2 linked regions of the Lonchura striata genome follow. The protein of the gene in region 1 interacts with the protein of each later gene in a biochemical or structural test. Links are inferred from orthologs where the notes say so. Each region holds a gene or a part of one and is shown on either strand. Other genes may lie near its edges.

What was found.
Region 2: the proteins of JADE1 (region 1) and KAT7 form a complex in vitro, tested with the Homo sapiens proteins (2 studies listed by BioGRID). The link is inferred for Lonchura striata from reciprocal best matches to the Homo sapiens genes JADE1 and KAT7.

The regions. Positions count from the first base shown.
Region 1 is NC_134606.1:67,394,343-67,410,845, reverse strand, and holds the start of JADE1 (protein Jade-1), read left to right. Parts: upstream 1-7,730; 5' UTR 7,731-7,750; intron 7,751-8,291; exon of another isoform or gene 8,292-8,320; intron 8,321-16,503.
Region 2 is NC_134627.1:7,849,312-7,865,076, reverse strand, and holds the start of KAT7 (histone acetyltransferase KAT7), read left to right. Parts: upstream 1-9,380; 5' UTR 9,381-9,583; coding exon 9,584-9,598; intron 9,599-10,855; coding exon 10,856-11,003; intron 11,004-12,156; coding exon 12,157-12,333; intron 12,334-13,138; coding exon 13,139-13,378; intron 13,379-13,806; coding exon 13,807-13,889; intron 13,890-14,074; coding exon 14,075-14,164; intron 14,165-14,675; coding exon 14,676-14,774; intron 14,775-14,912; coding exon 14,913-15,023; intron 15,024-15,765. Other genes in the region: SLC35B1 (solute carrier family 35 member B1), read right to left, coding at 4,454-4,506, 4,721-4,874, 5,198-5,304, 5,750-5,876, 6,356-6,513, 6,884-6,914, 7,622-7,752, 7,833-7,936 and 1 more. UniProt on the Homo sapiens protein: Catalytic subunit of histone acetyltransferase HBO1 complexes, which specifically mediate acetylation of histone H3 at 'Lys-14' (H3K14ac), thereby regulating various processes, such as gene transcription, protein ubiquitination, immune regulation, stem cell pluripotent and self-renewal maintenance and embryonic development.

The sequences.
Region 1 (16,503 bases):
CTTAATTTCCTTAAAAAGAGACCCCAAAGAACCCACAGGAGCAGCTCTTGCAGAAGATGAACATGTAAAGAAAAGACAAATTGAGTCTCTAGGCTCCACTGTCAACATGCTAGGAGAGTAAAAACCCCTTTGCTGTCTCTATGGGCCTGTCCAGCCTGTCAGTCAATATATGCTTTATTACACATTATCGATCCAAAGCACCACACCAGAGTGCCAGCACACTTTGTACTCTGGCATGGCACTGGGGCTGGCACTCTTTCAGGCTTTCCAGAACGTATCTTCTGTAAACTCTGTCTGCTGTGACCTGAGACTCTACCTTAAGTAGCCCTTCCCCAGAAGAGATCTGAGGCACTGTGAGCTCATCTTTAGCAGGGATGCTGCTGTGGCTGGATGAATACTTGAGGAGCTGAGTAGGCTGGGACTGGGGTTTTGGCAGCTACTTAAGGATTTGTGTGCCCACTATAGATGTCACTTTAGGGAACCAGATTAAAGGCAGTTGGCACATTTACTTTGTCCTAGCTCTTACATTTCCACAGGAAGAAAATAACCTTCCTCAGATTGTCAGTGACATACATGTGTGATGGTTTAAAAGCATGTCCTCAATGAAAGACACAATCTTTTCTGGCTTGTGCAATTTGAGGAGCAAACATGGGTGTTTACCCTGTGCCAAAATCTGCCCACATAAGCAGATCAGACTTTTTTTTTTTTTTTTTAATGTTGTTCTGGAAGGTCTGAGACTATTTTTTGCTTATTTTTATTGGTTTTTTTTAGCTTAGTAAAGCAAAGTTCACAGAAACCGGAGTGATGATCTGATTTCCAACTTTTCTTCCCGGTGTACTTAGTTAAAAATAACCGTGACAGTCTTGCCTTTGAGCAAAGATGCTGTAATTTCTAAATAAGCAATAAACTCCTTTGTCCATTAAAAAAAATAAGTAACCTCAAAACGATTAGTATAAAAGGTATGAAATCACTCAAGGCCTGTTTACATCCTGAGCCCTGAAAATTTACCATGCAACCATTTGGGGTTCTCCCTCTGGACATCCTCATGCAGAAACTATGCCACCTCCTGTACTCCTCACTGGTCAGGTGGAGTCTGGAGCAGAAATTTGGGATTAGACACATTCCCTGTGCAAATGCAGTGTTAAGGGTATCTTCCCCCTCGTGCTGTGTGTGTTTCAAACAGCACTGAAGGATTAGTCTGCTATAACATGTCAGGGCTGAATCATGATTTCAAGTCTCTTTGCTTTGCCAGAGGCAGTTTTTATTTGTATCTCGTTACAATTATGGCTCAGTATCCTATTTAGAAAAGAGATAATAATTCTCTCCCTGATAAGAGTCCTGTGGCTTTTCTTATGTTGTGTGTGTATTTCTGAAAAGCTCTTAGCAAAGTGGAAGTGTAACAGTGAGAACTGTATTGGTTTGGGTATGTGTTAATGACACGGTCAGCTCGGGCCAGTTTCTGAAAGGTTATGGGTTCTGCAGGGTTATTTCTGCCCATGGATATATGGCATAAACTGCCCTCTTTATCCCAATACCTCCCCACCTCTTTGAGGGGGTGTGAGAGATGGAGGAGGGTTAGATAACAGCTCAGCTTTCCTATATTCTGTGAACATTCTTTTGTGCTGAATATTCCAAACCTTTTGTTCCAAGTCTTGTTGGATATTGTTGAACCTCTGGACATAAACAGTAGTGAAATCTAAATCCATGAGGTAGCTTTTATAACACTGATGTTGAGTAAAACATCCCAAACTGGTTTTTGTGCTTATTTACACAGTAGAAAAGCTCAACAATCAGTATTGCCACAAGAAAAAGATATTTAGTTTAAGTTTCTCAATTTTTTTTCTGCTTGCTAAACACTGAGAAACTTAATTTCTAAAACATATAATTGGTAAAGTAAAATAGCTGAAATAAACAACACTTGTCTATTTGACTAGATTTCCTTTATCTAGCAGTGGTCGCTTCTTTACACCCTTTTATTTTGTCTATTACTGAGCTGAGTTACTTAATAGTTGAAGTAGGTTTCAGGACAACTGCATCTGAAATAAGTGGACCTCTTGACCATTTAAGGAGAAAATTTGCCATCTGTTGAAATCATGGTTGCCACATCCCCTAAGAGGGATTTCAAGCATGGAGACTTAGGAGGGGAGCTTATTTATACCTACTGAGGACAAACAGAATACATCCTATCTCATGGCTAATTGTCCTAAGTTTGTTTTTTGCCATGGAGGGTGTAGGATTTCTCTGCCCTTGTGGCAGACCTCAGTTTCATGGCCTGCAAAGAGCTTTAAATTCAATGAACTGTGAGTCATTGCATTTGGAAGAAGAAATAGAAGCAGCTCTGTGGTGATTCCATCAAGTACTAAAGGGAACCCAAAAGGACCACATGGGAAGTTACTTGCAGGATTTCTGCTCTTTGTAGACATCTTATCTCAAACTGCTCATAGCAAATGGAACACCCGATCTTTATTTTTTGATTTAATATTTATCCGATTCCTAAAGATCCAGAGTTGCAAATTTTCTTCAAAGTAATTTTGGCCCTAAGTTTTTACTGAAAAAAAAATTGATTTTTTTTTGCACTTCTGTGATAAATTGGTACCACTGCTCCACTTCTAGCAACCAGTTATCAGGTTGCACTCTGCAATCAGAAAATCTGTAATCAGATTCTTTTGAACTCTTCCAGAAGTTTTGTCACAGCACCTTTCTTTCACTATGTGATTTCTGCCTGCATAAACACAATTTAATGTTGAAGTTCATTTAGATTAGCTGTTGTAATGTTGCCTGATGAGCTGCCAGATAGACACGTGTAGATACTTCAGCCAAGATTTGATCTGCTGCTGCTAAATTCTCACTTGCCTGAGGTTTTCATAATCCTTAGGGCATTACCTCGGCTGCTAATTACTTCTCTCATCATGTACAAAATTGTGTTATTTCCCTTAAAGGTGATGCATCACCTTCATCCAGCTTAACTTGCAGACCTGCAAGTCTGTTTCCAGTGTTCCATTGAGCTTCTTGTTCTACTGGTTTCCTGTCAGCTTCTACTTTTCAATTACAACAGTTGGGAAGCACATGATTTCAGTACCTGTACTTTTAGATTTTGGAATGTAGTTAATTTTACCTATTGGGCATACCTGTCCCTGCTTCCTTTTTAGATGAATGCACACTGTCAGCAGTTGCATATTCATGCAATGATTGTGTCTAACTTGCAGAAACATTTTAAGATATCTATGTGCAAAATGTCATGGAGGTATACTTTGTACTGTGTTCTGTGCTGTGAACCAGGCCAAAGGGGAGGATATGGTTTAATCATTAGAAACCTTGGACTGAGAGGCATTACTTCAGGTTTCTATTCTTGGTTTTAATGCTGACTTAACATGTGACTTGTGTGAGTGATATAACCTTTACAGGCCCCTGTCTACCCACAGATAAAATTAGTGTTACAATCTCTACTTCTCAAGTTTTGTCATTAAAAAGAGTACACAGGTCTGTCTGTGCAAGCCCACTAAATAAAGAGTTCACCTCTGAGGATTCATTTTCATCCCTTTCTATCCTAATCCTTCACTGGCACAGCTTCTCCTTCCTGGGGCTCTGGCCCATACACCGAGTTAGAGATCTCTCATGACTTCATCTCAATAAGCCAAAGAAACTGTAAACCAGAAGAATGAGGGTTGTGAGCACAGGAGAAATCACATCTTTGGTGTATGGCTTATGAATAAACTAATCACTCTCACAAGCAATCCTGGCAGCTGTAAACCTCAGCTTCAGAGTCAAAGGGAATAATGACCTGCCTAATCCAGACACACCAAATTTTGGTAGTTGTGGATAATGAGAGGGACAAAAAAAACAGACCACCAATTAGTGGAGGGTTCTGTGCATAATTTTATGAAGCAGTTAGGTGCCACCATGCCATAAAAGATGTATTTGGGTTGGACAAAACTGTGACAACTGTGTTCCTCTATGGCTCATACAGGAACTGCGTTGAGTAAGTTTTATTTCTGCAGGATTTAAAAATATTGCATTTATGCAACTTGTAAGTGGTATAGATTTACATATGCATGAGTCAAAATCTTTTTTTCCCCTTGCTTGTGTGATTAGACCAGCTAGAGACAAAATGGACCTTGAAATGAATTGGCCCAACTATGCATCCATCTTACAGCTCTGCTCTATAAAATACCTGTCACAGGAGATATGAAAACTCTCTGGAAAATCCCACTCTTTAAGTACAATCTAGTGTTGACAGTGCTGATTTGGATCTGTACTGTTCTTCTCCTCAAGTTTCTAATTTTCAAAATAAAAAATAGAAAATAGAAGTTCCTGAAAGCTCGAGCCAAAAGAGCAAAAGAACAGTTTTGAATTTTAAGTGATACTCTTGGACTAAATTTAACAGTGAGGAGAAACTCAGCTTTGTTAGCTACACCTTCATGTATGAGGACTGTATCAATTAGCAGAAAATATTTCAATTGTTAAAGTATTATCAAAATAAAAAAAGGAAGAAGGAAGGAAATTAATTTTACTAGCCACTGCTACAGCAACAAATTTCCACAGAAGGGTGCTGAAAAGCTACATAGTCTTTCCTTGGATTTGTGTATCAGCTAAAATATTAACAATCCAAGAAGGAAATGTTAAGAAACTAATAAAACAATAAAGAATTAAAATAAAGTTTAATATATGAGTGAGTGTATCTGATGAAACAACTTACAGAAGGGATCAGAAGTTCTGTGTGCTAGCACAAAGCCTAACTCTAAGCTGGATACATGTTCTCTGAATGTTCCTGGAATAAATGATAATGCTGGTAGAAAGATAAGTGAGAGAGGCACAGAACCTTATGACATTATTTATTATAAGAAAGTGCCTGTTTTGCTGAGAGGGTAAATACCTATTAGAGACGAGGGGTGATCTTAGAACTCCTACTGACTCTACTTAAAGCAGAATTTTCCTCATCACCTTGATGTTTAGTCAGTGCAGGTAGCAGAAGACTACTCTCTCTTGTTTGACCATAGCTATGCTCGTATCCAACTTCATACCTGTAATGCTGAAGCAGTAACATTCCCTTTTTGTTTTCCAGACACTTCCAAAATTATTCTTCCAGCTCCTAGCCCTTTGATTTTTTAAATATTTCCTTTTAAAACATAGAAGTGTATTATTCCAGAGGAATCTCTGTGGATGCACTGTACTCAGAGACAAAATAGCATCTTTGTTCCAGTTGTGTTACCTTCTTGTAAAGACTGGGCTAGCTGCTTGTGGAGCACAGAGGACTCACATTTGGGGAGTTTTTCTATGGTAATGGAGATAGTTGGTACTTTTTAAAAACACAGCCCATAATTCATGGTACCATGAAAACATTAATGTTATCTTAAATGTGAAAACAATCATGTTATCTTAAATGTATGGCCTCATATGGCTTCCAAGAGAAATGTTTCCTAAAATACAATGTGTAATATAAACTTGGCTACATATGCAAAGGAAAACTAATTACAGGGAAACAAAAATATTGCCTCAAATCCAAGGAGCTTGAGACAGGAAAGTTTCTGTCATTCCTCTTGAGAAATTAGAGCCCATTCACATTTAAGCTCTTCTCAGAAGCTTGTTCTGAACTTCTTGGAAAGAATTCAGGAAAGTGGAACAAATAGCATTTATTGTGATTCTTCAGTCTTTTACAATGGACAATATTATTTAAAATTATTTAGAAGAAACATCATCATATTAACCCAGTAGAAGTGCATGCCTGTGTACAGTAATTGCCAATTGACAGTAGCTTTGCTAACCTTGATTGCTTTTTACGGATTTATGAGAAGCAGTCCCTGAACCCCTGAGGGGCCTGCAGACCACTGAGGGAATAAACTGCCCTGTTCTGTTCTGGGGTTTATACCATGGCACAGCAACAGGTTTAGGAAATACAGAACAACTAAGTCTCCAGTCAGTATTGAAAATTAACAGCCCTGGAAGTTCAGGGGTAAGGTGACAGGGGTGTGTCAGTAAGTTTATTATAATTATCAGTTACCGTGACGGGGTGTGTTGCATGGATCGTCATGGATGTTCCTAATTAAGCTGCTGATGTACAGAAAGCTATGCCAACAGGTATCTTTACAGATCTGGATGCCAAGGCAAGTGTAGGAAGAAAGTAGGGAATGCATGCCTTTCTGTATTTTCATGTAGTAGAAAACAAGGGAATCAAAGTCTTAGATTCAAAAATCTGAAGGTGCTTCAGGGTGTTCTGTGAATAAAATCACAACTGTCTGATTTTCACAGTGAAAGAATATCTCCAGGGGGGAGGATGTTTTTGTAGTAAAGCACAACTTTTTAGGATGTGCAGATTCAATGTAAGTACTGTTTCATTATTGGGTGGGTGGGTGAGACGGCAGAAGAAATGACTCGGTTTGCACGGATGAATAACGACCCAATTCCTCTGCTGAACTAAGGTGTGATTCTTTGGCAGACTGATGTTTCTGTGGAGGCTGCATTAATTTGTATTTGCATACTATGGGGATTACTTTACACAGATCGCCTTAATTCTGTGTCTGAGCTTATGCTGAATCTTCTCTGTGGTGTTTATTACCTCAGAATATATCTGCTCAGGAATTCTGCTCAAAAGGGGGAGTTCTTCACTCAGGGAGCACAGGTGTATGGCGTGAGGTAAAGCGATTTATGTGGAAAAATAAGGAAATCTGCATTCAAACACGCTTTTTAGGTAATGGGAAGTTTAGTATGTCATTTGGTGCCAATTTGAGATAATTTCCTCTCCTGCTAGAGAGATGTGAACTGAACCGCAGATTGTGTTGGCTCTTTCTAGTCTTTGAGAAGTATCAAAGTTAACGAGCCATAGGGATAACGCTGGGGGCTGAGAATAGGGAGCGTGCAGTTTTATTCTTGCCCCGGCAATTATGCGCTACGCATGTGGCCACAGCGTTTAACTCTTGGTACCCTCAGTTTCTCTGCTTGACAAATAGTGACTCACGCGTTCTGCACGGGGAGCCAGTGCATCGCTAGAATTCCTGCTTGCGAAATCGGTTTAAATCTTTTGGAGAGAAGAGTTAATGGTTGCAGGGTAAGGCCAGCAGTGCCGCGGGCGGGATGCGGGTGCAGACACGTATCATTTCCCAGCTGCCCAGCCGCGCGGCGTTGCCTCCCATCTGCGTTTCCCAGCCCGCTGGAACACGAGCGGGAGGCGGCGGGAGCCGGGCGGCCGCGCTCCCCCGGGGCTCCGGCGGCGAGGGGCGGCGGGAGCCCCGCGCGGTGCGGCCGGGCCCGCCAAGAGTTAACGGCGGCTCCCCCGGGGCCGCGCCGCCGCCTCCCCACCCCGGCGCTGCATTATTATTATTATTTCTCCCCCCTTCCCTCGCCTTCCAGTTTTGGCAGGGGATTAAAGCAGCTCCCCCCTGTGGCAGCAGTGACCCAGAAACGAGTTTGATTCACGGAGTCCTTCCTCCATAACAAGTACAAACGTCAGTCAGAGGGAATCTGTGTGTGTGTGTGAGAGTGTGTGTGTGTGTGGCGCAGCGAGCCGCGCTCCGTGCCCGCTGCCCGGCGCCGCGCCGAACTCATGCGGCGGCCCCGAGCCCTCCGCGCAGGGGGAGCCCGGCCGCGCCGCCCGCCCTCGTCGCCGCCGCGCCGCCGCCAGCAGGTAACCGTGCCCGCCGCAGCGCCAGCCGCGGAGCCGCCAGCACAGCCATATTTGATGGGGTTTTTTTGTCGCTCCGGAGGCGGCGGGAGAGCAGTTTCGTGCCGAAGGTCGCTGCCTAGTGGAAATAAGATAGTACGTCATTAACATGGCGCCAAGAGCCGCGCCGCTCGGTACGGGGCGAGGGGAGGCGGCCGAGTTGCGGCTCCGCTATCCCACAAGCAACTTGTGCGGGGCTGTGGCGGGCGGAGGCGGGAGGGGAGGCAGCGCTGCCGCCCGGCGCGACCTGCCGCTGCCGGCTCCCTTTTTGTTCCGCTGCGGGCGAGCGGGCAGCGCGCAGCTGCCCAGGTGCAGCGGCCAAGTGAGCCGCCGGTGTGCCGTGCCGTGCCGTGCCGGTCTGCGCCGTGCCGTGCCGTGCCGTGCCGTGCCGTGCCGTGCCCCCGGCCCTGCGCCCCAGGCGTCGCTGCAGGCTGCGCCGCGGGGGCAGCGCCTGGTATCGCCCGCCGCGGAAAGTAGGAAGCGTTGGAGCAACTTGGTAGCCAGATGGCAATGGCAGAGCGCAAGTCTTGCTCGGATACTGATGTGTAGGAAGGGGGTGGGGGAGAGTCATGGCCACTGTGTGTCACCGTGTTACCCAGATGCCCACGAGACCCGTCGCCTCTCGCCGCGGGCGGGGAGCGGTGTGCGTGGGAGAGGAGGTGTTCGGTATGCAGGAGCAGCTTTGTTTCCCTCCCTTTACCACCCCGCTTGCACTTCGATTTGGCTTGGGGCGGGGGGGGGGGGGGGGGCGTAAATGCTTGGAATGCATAAAAACTGCTCATCGGTGAAATTAAACAGAAGTTGCCTTTCGGAGCGGGAGAGCCGTAGCCGGTCTGCCTCCCGCTTGATGGGCGCCGGTGGGCGCTCTACTGGAGGCGCGGAGCGCCGAGCTGTCAGAGCTGGCTCTGTCCCCCCAGACGGGTGCGCGGTGTCTCCTGCTGGAGAACAACTTGCCCGAGCCCCGAAGTGCACGTGTTTGAGAGTGGGAAAAGGCGGGGAAATGCGTGCGGCCCCACCGGGGCGCGGGGCGGCATCGGGGCAGCGGCCGGCAGGTGCACGGCGACCCCGCCGCGCCGGCCCCCGCCCCGGCCGTGGGAGGTGGAGCGGCAACGGGCCGGGGGGCGCGCAGCGAACTTGGGCAGGACGTGGGGGGTCCGGCCCCCTCCCGCTGCTGCTGCCCGGCGCAGGCCGAGGGGCGAATCCGTGTGCTCGGGCCGGAGTTTGTGGGCGAGGGAGCGGAAAGGCGGCCGGCGGTGTTGGGGCGCGAACGGAACATCGCGGGGGGCGGCGGCGAACGCCCCAACTTGCTCGGGCGGCGGTCTGGGCAGCTCCGCGATTTGGCTCTTGCCCCCGTGCCTGGCGAGCGGGACGGAGCGGGGCTGCGGCACTGCTGTGTAACGGGCCGCTCTCCCTGGGGAGGTGAGTGCGGCTCCAGCCATCATTCCACTTGTTCCTCTTAGACAAAGCCACCCTGCCCAGCCCTGGGCACGCGTAGTCGCCAGCTCCCAGGAGAATTTTGGTGGTGTTTGTGTTTTTTTGTTTTTTTTTTTTTTGGGAGGGGGGCAGCCTGGAGGATGTTTGGTTGTTTTGGTTTTATTTGTAGAAATTTTTTTAATTTGCTTTTCCCTTCCCGTTCGCGCCCGCCCGTTCGTTCCCGATAGGATGAATTTGGGAAGGGTGGAGGCAAAGGGTGTTTGTTTGTTTGCACCGCCTGCTGGTTGGTTTCCTGTGACAAGAGGTGATAACACAGTTTCCAGAACTGTCTGGGAGTGGGAGGAGAGACGGACAGAGAAAATGAGCTCGTCTCCGAGCTGCCGCTCGATCCGCCGTCCCGTCCACCCCCTCGGTGGCAGCGTGGCCACGGGGGCGGGCGGGGAAGGTGCCGTGGCCGTTTTCGGCAGTGACAGCGCTTTGAGCGAGAGGCGGCGGAGCCGGGGGCACCAAGTTTGATTTGCAGCCGTGGCCGAGCGGATTGGTGCGACCGGCGGCGGGGAGGAGCGGGAGCCGGGAGGGAGGAGAAGGAGGGGGCCAGCCGGGCCGCTTCTCCTGGAAGGCGGCCGTGCAGCTGGCCGGGGAGGTGCCACCCCCGCGGGGGAGGTGTAGCCCGGCCAGGAGGCTGCTCCGTGACCGCAGCCGGCCGTGCCCTGGCGGCTCCGGGGTCGGCGCCGCTGCCGCGAACCCTGGGCGGGCGCGGTGCCGGGCCGGGGCCGAGATGGGATCGCTGCGGGAGGAGGAGGAGGAGAGCCGCCCTGAGCGGTGCCCGGCCGGGCTGGAGCCGGCTGTCGGCGTGAGTGCCGCGTTGGAAGCGACTCCCGAAGGCTCGGCTCCTCTCCTCCTGCGGGGAGTGGCCCCATCCCGCAGCCGTGGGCTCAGCGCACCTGCGAGCAGCGCCTGCCGCCGGCCAACTTCTCCTGCCGGCTCTCTCCGGCTGGTCCTCAGCTGCTCGCCTTATTCTGAGAAAGTTGATTAGGTTCACCGGCAGGTGAGAGTCGGGGCATCCTGAGATCTGTCACCTCCCTGCCCCTTCCCAGTAAAACAGGCCGTGGAAGTATTAGAAATTCCAGTAGGATTCAGCAGCACATCTTAGTTGATGTTTTTATGCCAGCCCCATTTTTTAGAGAAAGGTTTTAGCTGTTATTTTGAATAATTTCCTTTTTAAGCAGGTGCTGTCTTTTAACTAAGTCAGAAGCTGCCCACACTTGTAAACCTAAAACCTTCATTAAAGTTATGCCAAAATATGCTTGTTATGATTCTATTTCTAGATGTTTCTCACACTCAGTGGGATATTGTTGAAACAGCAAGAATTGTATGTTTTAGTGGCAGGATTTTCCCTCTGGCTTCAGATAGCACTTGCTCCCAGCTTTTGAGCTATGTTTAATACATATGTTTAAAATAAAATAATAATAATAAACTCCCCTTTCCTCTCACAGCTGCAGATTTCCCTTCCAGCTTCTCTGGTTTCATTCCCAATTCACAGAACCTAGTAAAAAAACCCTCAAACTTCCAGTGTTTCCTCAAATGATTTCTCCATGTGTTTAGTACTGCTGCTTCATGCTCCCATTTTCAACTGGAGATGGCCAAACTGGTACCATTTCCTAGGTGGAAGAGAGGAACTGCAGTGGGTGCAGGTTGAGTTGCAATAATTCTTGGAACGCAGTTCATGCATTGCTCGAGATTTTGGATGGTCCGTTTCACTCACTCCCACAGTTTGGGAATAATTTGCTGCCACTGTTCAGGTAGTAAGTTAATATTATGGGCTGGCTTGCACAGGTGCATAAATAAGCACGTGGATTCCTGAGAAGTGTTGGGTTGATATGGCCAAATTGTGCTTTTCTCTTATATTGATAAATTTTGGATAGGTGTGCTGAATTTGGTAGAAATATTCCCTGTGGAGAACACTGTTGGCCTTGTTTCATGACACTTGGAGGATTTTTTTCCTCCAGATTTAAGGTCTGTGACTCTTTGCACTGTGGATGGTGCTCCGTAATAGAATTTTAAGTAAATTTTAGTAATAGCTTATTTCTGATGTGCTTCCTTTTTTGTTTGTTTGTTTGTTTTAGGTCTAGGGTAGAAGCAAAAGAGCTTCTTGTGATGTCAGGTGTCAGTGAAGAAGGGGTGGTGTTATAAATAAGCTATTTAAAAAGAACCCAATAATAGAACCCAAATGTCTCCATCTTCTATTTTATTATACTGTGTCACACTTCGCTTCCATTTGTACAGTAGGTGTTCTGAAGCAATTTCTTGTGTACTAGAGATAATTAGGTCTTCGTTTCATTGCAGTTAGTGGGTTACTTTCAGGAAAAGCCAGTTTTTCAGTTTGTCTTCAGGGTGTACATCTGTCATAACTCTGCTTTCTTCCCATTCTGTCTCTGCAGCTGTTCAGTGCAGTTTGTTACAGTGACACCCGTTAACATGGTTACAGTTAATTGTCTGTCAGAGTTTGAATTATACACTCTTTTACCCAGGGGTTTATGCAGCCCTTGAAAATACTTCAGTAAGAATTGTGCTGTGGAAAACCTTTGACCTGAGGATGTAGATTTTCCCATGTATATTTTTTTTTACAATCTGGTTCTGTTTAGCTATATGCGTAACAAGGACTGACACACTTTACATCTTTCCCTTCGATTGCCTCTCTAGTTGAGGTCAAACTTAGTGAAGAACCATGTGGGGTTCTTAACTGTGTATGTGGCACATGGGGGTGTGTGTGTGCACGCTGTTGTCCCAGTTTCTTGGGGTAGTGTCTGGATTTCTGCCCTTTGTATTTTTTACACTCTTATCAGTGCAGCTCCTGGGACTTCAGCGTGGGAGAAAAAAGGAAAGGTCTTGACATCCATGTCCAGTGGGGTCTTTGGGTTTTGTTGGTAATTTATCTCTTGGAGAGGTAAGGATGGACTAGCATGGTAAAACGAACACTGCTAAAAATAATGATTTTGCTGTGCTGTGTCAAGTTGCTGAGTCTAACCCATTGCACTGCATCTGTCATCCAATACTTGGAAGTGGACAACAAAGTCTGTATGCCTGCCTGCATCTAGTTGTTTGTGTGGATTAAGATGTTTGTTGCTCAGCTCCACAAGGATATATAAATTCAAATGCTGTTGTGTGGCCTGACATTGATTATATTGGATTATTGTCTTGTCATTTCATTTGCACAGCATTTACAAGTGTTTTGAAAAAGGCTTCCCACGCTCTCCAAAACACAGGAGTCAGTTTCAGGTGGTGTAGTTTTGCCTTCAAAAACAATTTGAGCAAATGCACCATCGAAGTCCAGAGTTGCATTGTTATGTTTAAAGTTTGTATCTAATCATTGAGCAAAACCCGGAGCTTAAGCAAGCATGATTAAAAAGGATGGAAAAGCGACTGGTGATGTGTTTCTGGAAAACAGAGCAGCACCTTCAGCCTCTGGAAAAGCACAGTAGGGTGTGTTGTAAGCTGTGTTTGGCCTCACAGTGCTGCCCTGGTATGGCCAGCTCATCTGAGGGTGACTGAGGACTAAAAAGGCATCGTCTGTGTCCCATTGGTGCCATTTATCATGGTGGTTCAATGAAGTGCTCTTGGATGCTTTGCTTCCCATGGAATTGGAGTAACATTGCCAGCAGAATCGTGGCTGTTTCTTGGAAGCTGTGTTTGGCTGAAGGCTGGCATTAGCCTGAGCCCAGTTTGGTTCCTCCCCGATGAGTTGCTAAAGGTTATACTGGAGTGTTGGGAGAAAACATGATCAGCATGCTCTGTGTTGGTCTGACTGATTTCTGAATGGATGATTTTAACAAAATAAACCATTGTCTTTCGAAGAAATGAAACTGAAAGTTTATATATAAAAGTTGCTGAGTTACTAAGAATTTACAGGAGTCACTGGAAACTGATAGAAAGTGTGGCTTGGTGATGCAGCCTTTGTCAGCTTAGGGTTGTTAGACTCTGCAGCAGCTTTGGAAGTGCTGGGCTTTCTCTTCAGGTGGAGAGTGTGTTGGGCAAACACCCCTTGGGGGCTGGTGTAAGAATTTGGGAAAAACAGGTGTAGAAATGTTTGTTAGGAGATCCAGGGCTCAGCCACAAGCACTGCTTGGCTGGCTGTGTCCTTGCTTCAGAGCGCTGTTCGTTCTGCAAAGGGGTTTGGGAGCTCGTTCTGTGGCATGGGTGGGTGCAGTGGATTTTTGTGGGAACTTCTGGGCTGGACAGCAATTATGTGATTGCAGGTACTTAGGAATTGAGCTCAGTCATCTGGGTGTCTCTTCTTGCCCTGCAAGTGTTGCAGGCTGGGGTGCATAGCTTTTACTCCTGGTATTAAAGCTGGTCTGGAATGTTTTACTGTTTTTGTGCTTACATAGGAATTCTCTTTGCTTACAGCCACTTTGCTTACATACACTGTGATCACAGTGTATGCCTGCTGGAACAGGGCAAAAATTTGCAGTATCAGTCTGCATCTAACCCTCGCTATCCCTGACCCATGTTTGTTTTTAATGTGCACTTTTTAACATGTTTATTGTGTGACTTTGGGTCACCCACCACCTGGCAGAAACCAGTAGGATTTCAATGTGCATGGTTCTAAGTCTCACTAGCTATTCCAGTGTTGTCTCTAGAACATGTGTTCTGGTCTGTGGATATGAACATCTGGTGGCAGCTGTTTAAAATTATTTTAGAAGCTGAAAAAAGCAGTTCTTCTAGTGACAAAAGTTCCAGGGGGTTAATCTTATGAGGTTTGAGTCTTGCTCTAAGAAGCCAAATGCTGGTTTTTCATCTCTGATTTAGCTCCCTGTAAACTCAGGTTAGGTTAAAAAATGGGAAAATCAGATCTCTGAGTTTTAATTATTTTTTCCTCCGTATGGATCTATAAAACAATCTCCCAGGAGCTTCATCAAATGGGATATTTCTTTTAATGTTACTATTGAGAACACAGGCTTTTCAGTGTGGCCAACTTCAGATGCCTGACTAAAGTGGACAAGGAAATGAACTATCTTATCTAATACTCTGTGCTCACAAAAGTGGCTTCTGCTCTGGCTTATTTCCTGAAGAACTCTGGAGAGTGCTTAAACTGGGAGGTGTGATTACTACTCTTTCCTCCAAAAAGCAACCAAAAAGGGGATGGTCAGTTTGTTTTTTAAAGACAGGTGGTAGAAGCAAGAAGGTTTCGTCTCTTTCCTTATGTTTTTGAATTTGCAGAATGTATGTTAGGGGGAGATTAAGTCAAAATGAACTTGTCCAGAAAGATGTGAAGGAGGAGAACTCCAAGTTTTCTTGTTTGTTGCAAGTTCACAGGTGTTTCCTAGTGTACTTAAACTCTGTTGCTTTGCTTAACAGTGTATTGTGCTTTTCAGACTGTGTGGGAAATAAACCAAGAAGTGAACCAGAAACATGCAAATTACACTTCTGAGACAGGACAATTTTCCTGTATTTTCTTCCAAATTTTCTTTACTTTGTTTATGGGAGATTTTTGCTAAGTGAATATCTTCTTTTACATTGCTGTTATTAATATGTGAACTAACAGAAAAAGTACTTTACAGATAGATGTTCATCCTCCTAGTTTTGGCCTTGTAAGAACTAATTGATTTTTCAGTTCTGTCTTAGCCTGTTTTGAATCTGAGTATTGGCTTTCTGTCTAAGTGACTATATAGGAGCTTGGCTCTGGATCTCTTAAATTTATACCAGGTGTATATTCAGTGGTTTTGATGGTTCTGGCTGGTATGGGTATTTATCCACTGGCAGCATTTCCATCTCCCATACACACAAAGTTCTGGCCTGCTTCAAAGCAATTTCTGGAGAGAATTCTTCTAGCCCTGTAAGAGGCTCCCATTGATGATTCTTTATTCTCTGGCATCAGACACTGTATGTGAACTTTTACTCTATGAAATGGTGACAAAAGGTCTTGGTGAGGTGAATCATTCAGCTTCTCTTTAGTGAGCAAAGCTTGCAGTTCAAAACTGTTACACATTTCAATGACAGGTGTATTAAATCCCACTCTGAAAAGTCACTCTGTGGGAGGGAGGCTTCCCCCCAGCTCTGTTTGCACGTGTAGTATGAAAAAGGAGGCCATCCTGCAATGCTCCTGCTCTTAGGACTGTATTAAGTTCTCTGCAAGTATAAAATAGTATCTCAGATTCAGTTGCTTGTTACTTGCTAGCGGTGACAAAATGAATTCCCTCAAAAATAAAATTCTTTTTAGATGAACTGCTTCTGGAAGAGCAGATATTTTTGTGCTCTATTGTAAATAGTGTCAGGCTTTGTTAGGCTTTTTGGGTTTCCTTATTTTGGGAATCAGTCTTACAAAAGTTGAAAGCATTATTGAATTTCTTAAAATGAGCTGTGTTCTCAGTGAACAAAGCTGAAGCAGTTAATTCCTACCCCGAAGGACCAATGGTAAGAGTTTTGCTGAGAGGTTTGAGGAAGTCTGAACTCACGTGGAAGTAAGGTTAGATTTTCTGCACTTAGCTAGAAGCAAAGGAATATTTTGGTATCTAATCTCCAAATCTGTGTGCAGAGATAGGTATGAGGGATTTGCTGCCAGCAGAGTGCCCAGACCTTGTTGATACAACTGATATGTGGTAAGCGAAGACTCAGGGGTTTTGATGTGCATCTAGAGTCCTTGTCAGTTTAACTTATGGTGGCTATGCCTTTCTGGACTTGTCTTGTCATGTTTTTGTCTGCTCTTCAACTTGCACTTTTTAATAGCTTTTTACATGTAAATACTGACTAGCTATGTACAGCTTCTTTGTTTTTACTGAATTTGGCTTTGTTCCACAGGGAGTACGCGTGAAAATGTCAGTGCTGTGAGAACTGCAGTTAAAAAGATTTGGAATTTTTTGCCTTTTTATCACAGAGGCCAAAATGATTCTTTTATCACATGGGCATGTGCCCATGAATTCGGTATTGGTAGAAATCTGGCAATTTGGAGGAACATCTGAATAATCATCTGAATAATCTTACTCCCAAAGAACAGTTAGTGTTAGGCATGGCTCTAGAAATGTGCCTGCAGGAGGAAGTAACTCTCTCATCTTAGAGGGTGGTGCTTTCCAGGGCATAGATGATGCATGTTTAGTTAATCTGGGAAAACTGGGCTTGCTACTGCTGATGTTTTGCTTTTTATGTGTAAGTGGATGACTTTAATCTCCGATTTCGTAAATCTGGCACTTAAAACAGGAACAAAATTGCTCCAAAAATATATTAGCCAAAGTAAATATTTACACAAGCAGTAAAAACGTTATTGTATTGCGAATCCAGTGTCAGAATAGGCAGGGGAAGTGAAGCACACTGGCTGGGGATATTTAGTGATTTTAACACCTCTCGGGACAAAACACAGCGTTCTGGTGGGGGGAAAGCGTCGGTGGGATTGTCATTGCCACTCTCCAGCCTTGTTCACC
Region 2 (15,765 bases), on another chromosome or scaffold:
AGGCAGGATCTGCGGCACGTCGGGATCGGAGTTATTGAAAATGCAGCACTAATTAAACTCCCCTATCAGGAGAGGATGAAAACGCAGTTATTTCATTATTTCCTGGATTTGCCTGCTCTGTTACGAACCCAAACAAACCCGCTGCAGAACAAAGCCCGCCTCAATCACGGGGGAGATTTAATGAGGCTTTAATTTGTGCAGCGCTCACGGAAGCGGTGCGAGGTGCTGCTGCCCTCCGCCCGTGCCAGGGGCACCTGTGGAGCCCATTTCCCATCTGGAGGGCACCGGGAGCGCGGTGCCACAGATTGCCACGGAGCCGCTGCCTTTGTGCTCGGCTTCGCTCATTGAATAACGCGGATCCCGCAGCCTGCCATGTGAAATGGTCATTTTTTGCTTACAGCCAATTAAGGATCCGTTCTCCCCCGCTGCTGCCGGGGTGTTTTCATCCCTCGCAGATCTCCTGCCCCTCTGGAGGTTTTTCTCCTGTCACAGCAGCCCCGGCTCTGTCACCTCAGCGTGCCCCAGGGGATGCTCGGGGGCTGGGGACGGGCAGAGCTGCTGGATCCTGCAACCCCCGAGCCGTGGAAGGCTGAGCATCCTCCCGGGAAGGGGAATGGGGAGCCTGGGGTTTTGTTTTGTATTTTTTTTTTTTTGTTTTTAATTTGTGTTTGAATTTGCAGCCCTCCTCCTCCGGGTGGGATTCACGGTGGAACAGCAAAAGCTGAGCCCTGCAGTGCCAGCTTCCCTTCCCCGTGAATTAACGGGGCAGGAGGGGAGGGGAAAAATCCCCACCTTCAGCAGCTCCTCCGGTGGAGAGTGGTTAAGCAGTTATTTTCCTGTGTAAATAAAATATCGGTGCCTCTTACAGAAATACATCAAATATTGATGTCTTTTATATTCGTGCAGAAAAGAGTGGGGGAATTGGTTCCTTCCAGATCCGAGGCAGAAATCCAGAGGGTTGCAGGATTTTCCTTCCCTGGGAGGGGCTGGGATGGAATTCCCAGAGCAGCTGTGGCTGCCCCTGGATCCTTGGGAATGTCCCAGGCCAGGCTGGGCAGGGGATGGAGCCACCTGGGATGGTGGGAGGGGTCCCTGGGTGGAACTGGATGAGCTTTGAGCTCCTTCCAACCCAAACCCACTCTGGAATTGTGTGATGGAGGCACGCAGATCCAGCACATCCCTAAATTCAGTGCAAGCCCACAGGGCCCAGCCCTTCCATGAGGGAATTCCTGCTGCTGTGCAGGGTCAGGCCCCTCTAAAGCACTCCCAGCTCCCTGCTCTGAACGTTTCCCACCCAAGTTTCCTCCCCTGACTCCCAAACACCTCCAGAAACCTTCCCTCAGTCCCTGCTGCTATGATTAAAAGCCGCTTTTGTTTGGGAGAAAACAAACACCGCTTAAAACAAACCCTGCCCTGGAGGTTTCAATCGCGGGGAATCTGCTGGGTTGCTATTTTTACCTGGATTGGAGAGGCATCAAAGCTGGTTTTGGAGCAGAGGAGGAACTCAGCCCTTAAATTGACAGCGGCGAGCGAGCAGCTCCCCCAGCCCTGAGCGGGCTCTGCTGCTCGTTAGCAGCGGCTCCTGATGAGGCTGCTCTTGTTTTCCAGGCTGCTTTTGATCCCGCACTCATTAAAACCTCATCCTGCTGCGGAATTGTTTCCCTCTCCCCAAAGCTCGGCACCTGCGGGTGGGGGGGCCCAGAGCGTTGTCCCCAAAGCCCCCCAAATCCATCCCGAGGCAGCTTTTCCCCTCGTCCTCGGGGAGCACAGCCCAGCTCCCTCCCAGCCCAAACCGTTCCTGGATTTTGTTTTCCCAGCCACGCTCACAGCAAAACAAATGAACAAATGAGGGGTGAATTGCCTTGGAATATTCAGGGTTTGGGGTATTTGGAGCAGAGTTTTCTGCTGGCCTCTGCTCCTGCCCCGGGGCTGCCTCCAGGTCCCTCCTGGGGGCTCCAAACAGGGATTTGTGAAGGCAAAATCCCAATATTTGATTCGATGTGGGGACAGTTAAACCAAACCTGCAGGGAAGCAAATCATTAAATCATCAAATCATTCAGCAGCCTGGGAACCGAACCTTGCTGTCCCCAAAACATCCTCGAGGTATTTCAAAAGAACACCAAGATCCCAAGGGAATGACAACAATTCCTTATCCACCTTTACTCTCCCTTCACTCATCACTGACAGGATTATCTCCATCCCTACAAAATACCCAAATTTCAGTCCCCTCCACCTCCCTCTCCAAACGTTTGGGTTTTTTTTTCCTGAGCCATCTGCTGCTGGAGCTGCAGGAGGAGCAGTGGGGATGAAAGGAGAGGGAGCGGAGCTGCCAAATTCCCGCGGTGGGTGCTGGGCTCAGCTCCTCAATCCCATCTCCCCTTCCCGGCCCGGTTCCGATCGCGGCGGGAGCCTCCCCTGGCGGAGCTTCCCGGGAGAATTCCAGCGGGAATTTTCTCCCAGCAGAATTCCAGCGGGAATTTTCTCCCAGGAGAATTCCAGTGGGAACGCTCTCCTGGGAGAATTTCAGCGGGAATTTTCTCCCGGGGGAATTCCAGCGGTAATTTTCTCCCAGCAGAATGCCAGTGGGAATTTTCTCCCGGGAGAATTCCAGAAGGAACGCTTTTCTCCTGGGAGAATTCCAGCGGGAACCTTCTCCCGGGAGAATTCCAGCGGGAACGCTGTCCAGGCGCGGTGCCGAGCCGGGAGGAGCAGGGCAGGATTTCAGCTCCAAGCCCGGCTCCAGGGGCTCTGCTGGTGGCCGGGAAGGATGAAACACAACGAAAATGGGGGAAAATCCTGGAGAAAAGCTGGATCTGCGGCTGGGTTTGGCTGGAGCAGGGACGGCACGGGAGCCGCTCGCTGTCGGCTCTCCCGGTGCTGGTTGGGAATGGTTAAAGCAGAGTTCCCCCTGCCGGTAACTGCGGCTGGAATTGGGATCCGGAGCCAACAAAATCCGGGAGGGAGGAAAGCTGGGATGGGTTCAGAGCCCTCAGCTCACCCGAGCCGTCAGCAGCCGCAAATTCCCCTCCGGCCCGGGGCCAGCGACCCTCGGGAATTCCCTGCGGGAATGTCCTGCCCAGAACATTCCAGAGCCCCAGAATTCCTGTTGGGAAAGAGCTCCTGACCCCAAAGCTGCACAGGCAGAGGGAGCTCCACTCCCAGGGCTGAGAAAACCCCAAAATCTCTGATTTACCTGGATTTGTGTCCCATGAACTGGAGAAGGTCTGGCCCAAGTTGGGGCTGAGCTGGAGCCGGTGAAGCCCAGAGAGCTGTGGAGACCCTGGGCACTGGGATTTGTCCCTTGGGAATTCTGAGCTGCCTCCTGGTGCACTTACACTGGGAATCACGGAATGGTTGGGGCTGGAAAGGACCTTAAATCCCATCCGGTCCCACCCTGGGACACCTCCCAGGATCCCGGGGCTGCATGGGGCTCCCTCGGTCACTTCCTGCCAGGAACCAACCCAACAGGCCTTGGCACCAGGAATTCAAATCCCTTTGCCCTTCCCTGGATGCTCTGGCAGCACTTTGTGCATCCCTGGCCCTTCCTTGGGGACAGCAGGAGTCTCCTGATGTTCCTCCCAATCCAAGCCCTGCCTCGGGTTGGGAAAAAGGAGCAGAGCCCAAAACCCACGGAACAGAATCCTCCCTCCCCCAAAGTGCCTCGGAGGCAGCAGAGGATGGAAATTCCTGGAATCCCACCCCGTTCCTCTGGGGTTATTCCGAGGGACAGCTGGACCCAGGCAGGAACATCCCAAAGACTCCTCAGGAGGGGTGAGGAACCCCAGGGAGCCGCTCTGGGAATTCCTGCTGGGGATCCCAGGGCATGGGAGAGGAGCCGCCCTGCGAGATCTGTGGGTTCCGCCCCAGAGCTGCCCCAAATTTGGGGAATTCTCATTTCCTGGGAGCCAGGACAGGGCTGGGGCAGTCCAGGACTTCCCTGCTGACACATCCCAGTGGGAGAAAATCCAAGGGCCTGCTCCGACCCTCTGGAAAACCCCACAACACGAAGGGGGTGCCTCCAACAAGGCTTTAATCCCGGGATCACCCCAAAGGACTGGGATCATTCCTCTCCCTCCCTGGACAGCACAGCTGGGTCCCCCCCAAATCAGCCAAATCCCCAAAAAAAGTCCTGGAGAAGCGGCCATTGTCTGGTTTTCTTTAATAAAGATAGGAAGGATTTGTGTTTTCCTGTTAAGGCAAGGATCTGCTGCTGCTGCTCAGCTCAGGGGGCAGCTCTGATTACACAAAAAAAGCAAAATTACACCTTAAACTAAAGGATTACATTTTAGAGACCATTTAGAATTAAAAAAAAACCAAACCAAACTCAACCCAAAAATAAATTCCACACGCTTTCCTTCTGATTCCCTGTCCTGAGTCCAGTTCCACACCAGATTCTGAGGTACAAGACAATAAATTAAAAGTTCATTCCAACCGCGGGGTCGCCTGATCCACCTCAATGCGATGTCTTCTTCACCCCCTTCCCAAATTTGGCATCGAGCCCAAGGCCTGGCAGGAGACAAAACATGCGGTTTGTGTTCTTCCAGCCAGTGGGAGATGGGAATTTTGGGAAAAATCAGCTGAATATCCCCAAATTCAGCCATGGAATGAGCTGGGGGGAAGGGACTGAATCGCTCTGCTGGTCCCACACGTCCTCGTCCCATTCCCACGGGTTTGAGGAGCTCCCAGGGCAGGATCCCGTGGGTTTTCCCCCAAAACTCACCCAGGAACACCAGCACGGTGCCCACCCACTGCATGGGGCTGATGGGGTTGGCGAAGAGCACCACGGAGGCCAGGATGGTGAAGAACTTGCGGGTGGTGGTGATGATGGAGCAGGTCAGGGGCCCGAAGTACACCACGGTCATGAAGATGAAACTCTGCCCCAGAAGCAGAACAGAGCCCCCGTCACTGGCACTGCCAGGCCGGGCAGCCAGGGGCAAATCCCAAAGGATCTCCCTTCAAATCCTGCTTCTTCCTGGCTTGGAGTGGGTTTGTGGCATCCTGGGATGGGCTGGAGGGGCCTTGGAGCTCATCCAGGGACGCCTTCCCCAATCCCACGGTGCTCCAACCTGGCCTGGGACACTGCCAGGGATGGGGCAGCCACAGATTCCCTGGGAATTCCCTGGGAATTGCCTCCCAGGGAAGGAAACCCCACCCAAAATCCCATCCCTGACCCCTGACCCCAGCGCAGGGCACCGACCTGGCCCAGGGCGCTGGTGAGGCCGAAGAGGAGGATGTTGGAGATGATGCTGGGATAACGCTCCGTGAAACTCAGGAACTCCCAGAGCTCCCCCGTGAACAGGATCCCTGGAAAACAGCCCGGGAGGAGCAGCCTGGCTGGGGATTCCTGCCCACGGGGGGCAGGTTGGGCTCAGAACCCCCAGAGCAGGGACAGAACCCCACAAACGCCAGCAGGAAACACCAGCAGCAGAAGCAAGCGCCCTGCTGGTTAATTAGTGAAAGGAAGATCATTAACGGGGATCAAATTCCAACAGAACAGTGCTAGCAATTAACCAATTAACCAGGAGCGCTGATCCTGGAATGGTTGGGCTGGAAGGGGCCTCAAAGCTGCTCCAGCACCAGGGCAGCTCCCAGCCCTGCTGGGCTGCTCTGAGCCCCGAGCTGGAGCAGGAGCTGCCGTGGGAGCTCCAGGAGAGCCCGGGCAGGGGCAGGGCCGGGCCATGAGCAGAGAAAAGCCCAAAAAGGCCCGAGGAAGCCGAGCCCGGAGCGCGGCGGGGCCCTGGCTCCTCACCTGCCCCCAGGAAGAGCGTGGACCAGAGGTTGACGTGCAGCATCATGTGGTTGGAGCCCGTCTGGTAGTGAGCACGCATGTGGTCCTGGGACACGCCCGTCAGCCCGTCCAGCGTCAGAGAGAGCAGCTGTGCATGGACAGACGGACGGACAGACAGATGGGGACAGACAGACACAGACGGGGGACAGATGGGGACAGACAAATTGGGCACAGCCAGCCAGCCAGATGGGGGACAGACAGAAAAGGCACAGACAGATGGGGGACAGATGGGGACAGGCAGACAGACGGGACAGACAGAGAGACAGATGGGGACAGACAGACAGAGCACATGGTCAGGCCCGGCTCCCCTCCCCAGGGCAAAAGGCAATTCTCGTTTTACAGCCGTTCCTGAGAGTTTATCACAGGGGTAAACCCCACCTGAGGGTTAATCCCAGGTGTAAATCCCCACCTGAAACCCTGGAATTTATCCCAGGTGTAAATCCCCACCTGAAACCCTGGAATTTATCCCAGGTGAGGGGTAAACCCCACCTGAATCCCAGGATTTCTCCCAGGGTAAGCCCCACCCGAGTCCCCCGAGGCCCAGCCCCGTGGGGTCCCTGCACTCACCAGGAGCAGCTCCCCGTAGCCAAAGACGTGCTCGGTGTCCCCTGTCCCTTTTTTGGGCTTGTAGAGGAACAGGGCCACCCCCGCCACGATGAGCAGCACGCACAGGTACTTGGCTGGGGGGTACCTCTTCCGCAGCAGGGTCACCCCCAGCAGCATCACTGGGAAATGAGAGGTCAAAAACTGCCCCAAAACCCACCCAGAGGAGTTAAACCCCAACAATGCCACCCCCAGCAGCATCACTGCAGAGAGAGAGCCCCTAAAATCCACTCATGGGAATTAAATCCCCATAAAGTCACCCCCAGCAGCATCACTGCGGAGAGAGAGCTCAAAAACTGCCCCAAATCCACCCAGAGGAGTTAAACCCCACAAAGTCAATCCCAAATGCTGCCTGGGCAGACTGAACATCCCACCCCGATCCCAAAGCCCTCTGTGGGATGGAAGCCAAGCCAGCCCCAGGGGGCTCCCACAGGAGGGGCTGTGGGGGGCCCAGAGCTCCACAGACCCCCCAAAAACGGGCAAATCTCTCACCTGGGATGGGTTTGCAGGACTTGCCCAGCACCTGGGAAGGGATATGGGTGTTAACAAGCCATACCCCAAAGGGAGAGAGAGAGCCCCAAAAAGATAGAGAATCCCAAAAAGAGAAAGAGCCCTCCTGTGTCCACCTGGGTGGCTTAGATGTCTCCCTGTGTCCCCGTGCCCACCTGGGTGGGGTGGCTGTCCCCCCTGTGTCCCCATGTCCCTGTGGGTGGGGTGGCTGTCTCCCTGTCCCCGTGCCCACCTGGGTGGGGTACCCGTGTCCCCGCTGTGTCTCCATCCCCCTGTGCCCACCTGGGTGGGGTACCTGTCCCCATGTCCCCCCGTGCCCACCCGGGTAGGGTTCCCGTCCCCCCGTGCCCACCTGGGTGGGGTACCTGTGTCCCCCCTGTGTCCCCATGTCCCTGTGGGTGGGGTTTCTGTCCCCCTGTCCCCGTGCCCACCTGGGTGGGGTCCCCGTCCCCACCTGGGTGGGGTACCTGTGCCCCCCCTGTGTCCCCGTCCCCCCGTGCCCACCTGGGTGGGGTACCTGTCCCCATCCCCCTGTGTCCCCCTGGGTGGGGTAGCTGTGTCCCCCTATGTCCCCCATGCCCCCATGCCCACCTGGGTGGGGTTTCTGTCCCCGTGTTCCCCTGGGTGGGGTACCTGTGTCCCCCCTGTCCCCATGTCCCTGTGGGTGGGGTTTCTGTCCCCCTGTCCCCGTGCCCACCCGGGTGGGGTCCCCGTGCCCACCTGGGTGGGGTAGCTGACGAACTGCAGCGCGGAGTTGCTGGACACCATGGCGCCCAGGTAGGACAGCGAGCAGGCCCCGTAGAGCCAGCCCCGCGTGCGGTCCGGCCGCGCCGCGTCCACCAGGCGGATCACTGCGGGGACAGCGGGGGACGGCTCGGAGCGGCCCGGGGACGGCCCGGAACTCCCGGGGCTCCGGGAATCCCGCACTTACGGAGCTTGGCGAAGGCGGCGTTGATCACGCACTGGATGAACACGAGCGTCAGCGCGAACCTGAACTTCTCCTGCTTCGCGCCCTCCCCGTAGCGGCCCCGGGTGCTGCGGGACGGATAACGGGGACACCGGTGACACCGGGACACGAGAGAGACAGGCACCGGGGACACCGGGCACAGAGCGGAACAGGCACCGGTGACATGGTGGGACCGGCACCGGTGACACCGGGACACGAGAGAGACCGGCACCGGTGGCACCCGGGACACCGGTGACAGAGCGGGACCGGCACCGGGGACACCGGCCACAGAATCGAGGGCACGGGAAGGAGCGGCGCGCCCCGCCCGGCTCCGGCTGCCCGGTTCTGCCCCGGTCCCTCCTCCCCAGAGCCCCCAGCCCCGGGTGAGCCCCGCGCCCCCCGCCGGTGTCCCCGCTCCCCGCGCCGTGGCTCACATGCTCTCCTGCAGGATGCCGTAGTAGAAGTAGCAGGCGAACACGCCGAGGAAGCAGACGGGCAGGCGGAGGCGCTCGGGCAGCCCCGGGGCCGCGCTCGCTCCCATGGCGGCGGCGGCGCCGCTCAGCGCGGGCGGCACCTCCAGCGCCACATCCCGCGGCGCCCCGGGCGGCCTCATCGGCCCCGCCGCGCCCGCCCCGCCCCGCGCCGCCCGCCGCGCTGCCCGGCCCGCCGCGGGGGGAAAGGCGGGCGAGGCGCGCTCGGGATGTCGCGGGGCGGGGCGGGAGCTGCACACGGAGATCGCCGAACCCTCCCCGGGGCTGCGCCCGCCGCGGTTCGGCCGCGATGGTACCGGGAGTGTGCGGGGTAGAACAGGCAGTGCTCGGGGCACCCCAGACTTAGGGGGGCTTCCCGATGCACGGCGCGCGCGGGAGCGACACCCGATGTGGAGCGCGGCGATTGGCTGGGCCGAGGGGGCGGGATAGAGAGACGGATTCTGATTGGTGGCTGCGGCAGTGGGGCTCCGCCTACTCTGTGCGACCCCCGAGCGGGGCTTTCCGGGGTCCTTCCGCCGGTCCGGGCCCGCTGGAGCCCGGCGGGGCGGGGGTGACGGGGCCCGGCCGGGACCGGCTCCTCCCCAAGGCCCCGTTCAGCCGCTGCCGCTGCTCCAAGCCGCGCTTCCGGGACGTTCCCGGGGAGCAGCGAGTCAGGAAAGCACTGTGGCCGGGAAGGGCCGAACCCCCGCCCTGGCGCTTTGTCCTTCACAGTTCCTCTCATCCCTCCGGGAATTCCAACACGGTTCGCAATGCCCGGGCTACACATCCCACCTCCAGGGCACTGCCCCCGCAGGCTGGGCGGAGGAGCTGCCGGTGCTGCAGCTCCCGAGGCTTCCTCCGCCTCAGCTCGGCGCTGCCCGCTCTCAACATGGCGGCCTCAGTAACGGGGGCTCCGCGCCCCGCGGACCCTGTGCCCTTATCAAAGATGGCAGCCGTAACCCCCGCCCAGCCCGCTGCCCCAGTCAAAGATGGTGACGCGCGGCTTCACTGCCGGCGGCGCCTGCCCGGCTCCAAGATGGCACGCGGTCACGTGACGGGGGTGTGGGCCGCGTCCCGGCGGAAGCGTGAGGGACCGAGCAGGGAACGGCGGCGGGAGCGGGGCTGGCGCCGCAGCAGCAGACGTGCCGCAGGGCGGGAGACACGGCTGCCACCACGGAGTCCGCCAACAGCAACACCGCGGCGGCCACCGCCGCTTCGCGGGCCGCGGGCGCTGGGGACCAGGCAACCTCGCTGCCCCCGCCCAGGATGCAGCGCAGGAAGGTGAGCGCGGCCGGGAAACGGGGGAGGCGGCCGGCGGGGAGACCGAGGAGCTCGGGCCGCTGCTTTTGACCCTTCCCCAGCCCCTCCGCTCCCTCTCCCGGCTCTAAAACTGGGGGGAAAGTAGCGGCCTTGAGCCCCCAGCGCCCGCCTCCCGAGCTCTCCGATTGGCTGCGGCGCTATCAGGCCGCGCGCTGATTGGCCGCGCTGCCTGTCACTCATCACCCCCAACGGCTACCGTCCCCCCTCCCCCGCGCGGCCATTGGGGCCCGCCCCTCGCCGTTTCCGATTGGGCACGCGCTCGGAGAGCTGGCCGTCTATTGGACAGGTCCCCGCACCGGGCTGGGCGCTGATTGGCTATTGCTGCTGTCCATCCCCGCCCAACGGTCACCTCCCCGCGCGAGCCTTGTTCCTCCCTTCCCCCATCGCGCCGCGGCCTGCCCCCACGGTTGGCGTTGCCGTGGGAGCAAGCCTCGCGCTGATTGGCCGCCGTTCGCTGTCAATCGCGCGCGGCGGCGGCCCGCCTTTTTGCTCCTCGAGCTGCCATTGGTAGGCCTCCCTTTCGGCCCCGCCCACGCGCGCTGTGATTGGCTGGGGCCGGCGCGGCTCCGCTGGGGGCAAAACAAAGCGGCGCGGGGGCCGCGCTCCCGCCACCGGCGCGAGGCGCCCCCCCCTCCCCTCATGGCGGCCGCGCCCCTCCCCGCTCCCCTCACGGCCGCCGCCATCGCCGCCCCCTCACCCTGCCGGCACCCCCGGCCTCCCCTCACCGCCGAGCCGCTCAACCGCGCCGGGGAATAAGGCACGAGCCTGGAAAAGGGGGAACAAAATTAAAGATTTTAGCTTGGGGCGGTTTAATAATGAGAAATAAGTGAAACACTGTTGTGGTGTTAAATAACCGTGATAACAGAAAGGGAAGGGAATAAAAATTGCGATTGCTGACCGGTGCCAGTCACCCTTCCGATATCCAGATTGCTCCCCTCGCTTTGGGATAATTCTGATAATTCCTCCAGTTTATATCCTGGGAATGACAGCCTGAGGTGGGAATTTGGCCATGAGGGATCACCTGTCCCGCTTTGTTTTTGGAAATTCCTCACTGCCAGAGCAGGAGACACAAAAAGAATCCCTGACTTGGCATAAACCTCCTGGGTCACCCTTGCAGCTGCAGAGGCTGTGAGGAGGTGCAGAACACGAAATCCCCGCTCAGTGTTGTGTTTTTAGCAGTAGCAGGGCAGCGTTTCAGGGCAGTGTGTGCCGTTGCAGAGGAACGCGGGCAGCAGCTCGGATGGCACCGAGGACTCGGATTTCTCCACGGACCCCGAGCACACGGACAGCTCCGAGAGCGACGGCACCTCCCGCAGATCCGCCCGCGTCACCCGCTCCTCGGCACGGCTCAGCCAGAGCTCCCAGGGTGAGGGAGGGCTCCTGCTCAAACCGGGAGAGGCTCTTCCTCGAACTGGGAAAACTCTTCCTCAAACTGGGAAAACTCTTCCTCAAACTGGGGAAAGGCTCTTCCTCAAACTGGGGCAAAGCTCGTCCTTAAACTAGTGCAAGACCTTTGTCAAACTGGGGCAAGCCTTTCCTCAAACCGGGAAAGGCTCTTCCTCAAACCGGGAAAGGCTCTTCCTCAAACTGGGGAAAGGCTTTCCTTAAACCAGGGCAAAGCTCTTCTTTAAACCGGGGGAAGGCTCTTCCTCAAACTGGGGAAAGGCTCTTCCTCAAACCAGGAAAGGCTTTTCCTTAAACTGTGGAAAGCCTTTTCTCAAAGTGGGGCAAGGCTCTTCCTTAAATTGGGGAAAGCTTTTCCTTAAACTGGGGCTAGGTTCCTCCTCAAACGAGGGAAAAGCCTTTCCTTAAACTGGGCTAAGCTCCTCTTCAAACCCAGGAAAGGCTCCTCCTCAAACCAGGGAAAAACCTTTCCTTAAACCAGGGAAAATCTCCTCAAATGGGAGAAAAGTTCCTCCAGCCAGGAAAAGGCTCCTCTTTAAACTAGGGATTCCTCTTTAAACTAGGGAAAAGCCTTTCCACAAACCAGGGCAAGGCTCCTCCTCAGACTGGGGAAAAGCTCCTCCTTAAATTGGGGAAAAGATCCTCAAACTGGGGAAAATTTCCTCCTGTAACTGGAGCAAGGCTCTTCCAGGCCCACACACAAATCCCAGGTGCAGCTCCACACCACAGGCAGTCCTGCTGTTCCCGATATCTAAACCCTGATGGTTCTTATCGAAACAAAGAGATCTTTGCTTCTCCAAATTGAAGCTGGGTGCTAATTGCAGGTCAATTAAGTTGTTAAACCTGGAGCAAGCTGCTGTCACTCCAGTTTCCTCCGAGAGTCCTGACATTTTATCAGGCAAGGCCAGAGCATGGTGACATGGGCAGGACGGAGCCACAGGGTGTCAATCAGTGGGGGACATGGGGGTTCTTATGGGTGCTGTGGTGTGACTGTGGTATCCCCTCAGTGTTGTGGTGTCTGTGTGGTTCTTGTGGTGTCCCCATGGTGTGACTGGTGTCCCCACGGTGTCCCCGCGGTGTCCCCTGGTGTAACGGCCCCGTTTCCCCGGGAGCAGACTCCAGCCCGGTGCGGAACCCGCCGGCGTTCGGGCCGGACGAGCCAGTGTACTCCACGCGGAGGGTGACCCGCAGCCAGCAGCAGCCAGCTCCTGTCACCCCCAAGAAGTACCCGCTGCGACAGACCCGCTCCTCCGGCTCCGAGACCGAGCAGGCCGTGGACTTCTCGGACAGAGGTACCCCCGGGGGCAGGGAATGCTGCATTGGTACCCACAGGGGAAGGGAACACTGCATTGATACCCAGAGGGGCAGGGAACCCTGCATTGGTGCCCAGAGGGGCAGGGAACACTGCATTGGTACCCAGAGGGGCAGGGAACCCTGCATTGGTACCCAGAGGGGCAGGGAACCCTGCATTGATACCCAGAGGGGCAAGGAACGCTGCATTGGTGCCCAGAGGGGCAGGGAACACTGCATTGGTACCCAGAGGGGCAGGGAACCCTGCATTGGTACCCAGAGGGGCAGGGAACCCTGCATTGATACCCAGAGGGGCAAGGAACGCTGCATTGGTGCCCAGAGGGGCAGGGAACGCATGGGTACCCACAAGGACACGGAATGCTGCTCCCGGGGTGGGACAGGCTCTGTGCAGCCCCTGGGGCATTTTCAGGAGCATTTTTGGGAGCCCAGTCCCCTCAGCCGCATCCCCTCAGCCCCATCCCCTCAGCCCAAATCCCCTCAGCCCCATCCCCTCAGCCCCAATCCCCTCAGCCCCAATCCCCTCAGCCCCGTCCCCTCAGCCCCGTCCCCTCATCCCCTCAGCCCCGTCCCCTCATCCCCTCAGCCCCAATCCCCTCAGCCCCAATCCCCTCAGCCCCAATCCCCTCAGCCCCAATCCCCTCAGCCCCGTCCCCTCATGCCCTCAGCCCCAATCCCCTCAGCCCCGTCCCCTCATCCCCTCAGCCCCAATCCCCTCAGCCCCAATCCTCTCAGCCCCAATCCCCTCAGCCCCAATCCCTTCAGCCCCGTCCCCTCTGCCCTCCCCAGACACCAAGAACGCAGCGGATCACGACGAGTCGCCGCCCCGCACCCCCACGGGGAACGCGCCCTCCTCGGAGTCCGACATCGACATCTCCAGCCCCAACGTGTCCCACGACGAGAGCCTGGCCAAGGACATGTCCATGAAGGACTCGGGCAGCGACCTCTCCCACCGGCCCAAGCGCCGCCGCTTCCACGAGAGCTACAACTTCAACATGAAGTGTCCCACCCCTGGCTGCAACTCCCTGGGTAACCCCCTTGGCAGTCCTGCTGCGGGCTGCCTGCTTGGCTGGGTGCAAATCCTAAAAATAGCAGGGGATCAGGTCAGGAATGGCAAGGAGTGGGTTTATAGAAAGGATATGAAGCGTAAATACAGGGAGATGTTTTCTGTTTGGGGGGTGACAGGATGAGGAAGCAGACAGGAGGGCGAGCACAGGTGTGGGAGGAAAAGTCACAGATTTGTGGAACTGGTTTTTGCCAGAAACAGGATTTCAGTGCCAAACTATTGCACTCCCATCCCTGGCTGCTTTGGCTTAGTGTGAGAAAAATTTTCCTTCCTTTTTAAACCAGGAAGTTTCCTCCTCCTATCCCCCTGTCGGTGATCCTGTGAGGGAGAATTCCTCCTCCTCTTTGGGATCATTTGTCACAAGTTCTGTTGCTTTTCTGACCCCTTGCAGGACACCTGACTGGGAAGCACGAGCGCCACTTCTCCATCTCGGGCTGCCCTCTCTACCACAACCTGTCAGCAGATGAGTGCAAGGTAAACGTGGATGGTTTTGCCTTCTGATTTCTCCTCCTTTGGGATTTTTAGGGTAAAATGCTGAGCCTTGTGTTCTGTGAGCAGCAAACAGTTTACAGCGTGCTGCTGCGTTTGTGTGTCTCCCCTGGAAGGGCAGGGGTGACAGGAGGCGGCTGCAGCCCTGACAGGTGAATTTTGGCCTCCAGGTGCGAGCGCAGAGCCGGGACAAGCAGATTGAGGAGCGGATGTTGGCCCACAGGCAGGATGACAACAACAGGCACGCCACCAGGCACCAGGTGAGGGGACAGCCTCAGCTCCCAGCTCCCAGCACAGCGCTTTGGGCCTGGGCTCCCTTCTCCACATCCTGAGGAGCTGCCATTCCAGAGGGGGAATTCCCTCAGTGAGGTTGGAGCAGGCAGGGAGAGCACAGCTGTGTTCAGGATGATCCTTCCCCTGTGCCTGGCTGTGCAGGAGCAGGGAATTCCTGCAGAGCTGTAAGCTGCAATTTCCCTCTGAGTAACCAGCAGAGAGCCAAACCAGGGGAATGACATTTCCCAGTCCCTGAGTCAGCTGGGAGCTGTTCCCCAGCACGGAGCATTCCGTGGGGAGCTCACCCTGTCCTGTGGTGGGAAGGAAATTTCCTGCTTTGCATTCCTGTGCTGCAGCTGCAGTGCCCTGTGATTAGCAGAGGATCTGGCTCAGACCTCGTGGAATGGCAGCCAGGATGGAATTCTGTGGGATGGGCAGGGAAGGGGGAAGTTTAGAGGGGCTGCAGCCTCTCAGGGTCCCACCTGGGGGTTCTTCCAGGCCCCCACAGAGAGGCAGCTGCGGTACAAGGAGAAGGTGGCTGAGCTCAGGAAGAAGAGGAACTCGGGGCTCAGCAAGGAGCAGAAGGAGAAATACATGGTAAAAGCAGGAATTCCATCCTTTCATCCCTCCCCGGGATGGAGTTTGTCTCTCCCAGTCATCCTGCAGCATTCCCAGCTAGAAAAGCTGCAGGATCCAACAGCTCAGCAGCCAAAACGCTGTCCTTTGGTGTTCCAGGAGCACAGGCAAACCTATGGCAACACCAGGGAGCCTCTCCTGGAGAACCTGACCAGCGAGTACGACCTGGAGCTGTTCCGCAGGGCTCAGGCCCGCGCCTCCGAGGACCTGGTGAGATCCCTGCCCCAGGCATGGCCCTGGGGGCTCTGTGGGGAGCTGGGCAGCAGCTCCAGGCCAGCACAGCCAGCCCGGGCTGGGGGCGAGTGCTGGAGCTGAGCTCTGCACTCAGGAATGCGTGGTGACATTCCAGGGGTGCTCCCAGGGGACAGGGACAGCTTCAGCGTCCCTGCTGAGGCCTGGTGACAACAAAAGCCACCTCGGCCTTGGCCCGTGACTGAGTTCACAGGCTGGTGTTGCTGAAGCTCCTGAGGAGCCTCCCAAAGCCACATCCCATTCCAGAGAGGGATCAAACGATGCTTTGATGCTTTTCTGGGCCGGTTGGGTTCCTGGGGCAGGGCCTTGGGCTGTGTCACGGAGCCACAGGATGGACTGGGCTGGAAAAGCCCTCTGAGGTCATCGAGTGCCACCCGTGACCTGACACCACCTTGTCACCAGGTGCCACATCCAGGCTCTTCTAAGCACCTCCAGAGATGGCAACATTTCCTTGGGCAGCCCCTTCCAATTCCCAGTGCCTCTTTTTGGGAAGAAACTCTTCCTCATGTGCAGCCTAACATGGTCTGGCACAGCTTGGGGTTGTGTCCTCCTGTCCTGGGGTTCCCTGGGAGCAGAGCCTGGCCCCACGCTGGCTGCACCCTCCTGTTGGGGTTATGGAGAGGCAGGAGATGTCCCCTGAGCCTTCTCTCCAGGATAAACACCCCCAGCTCCCTCAGCTGCTCCTCACTTGTGCCCTGTT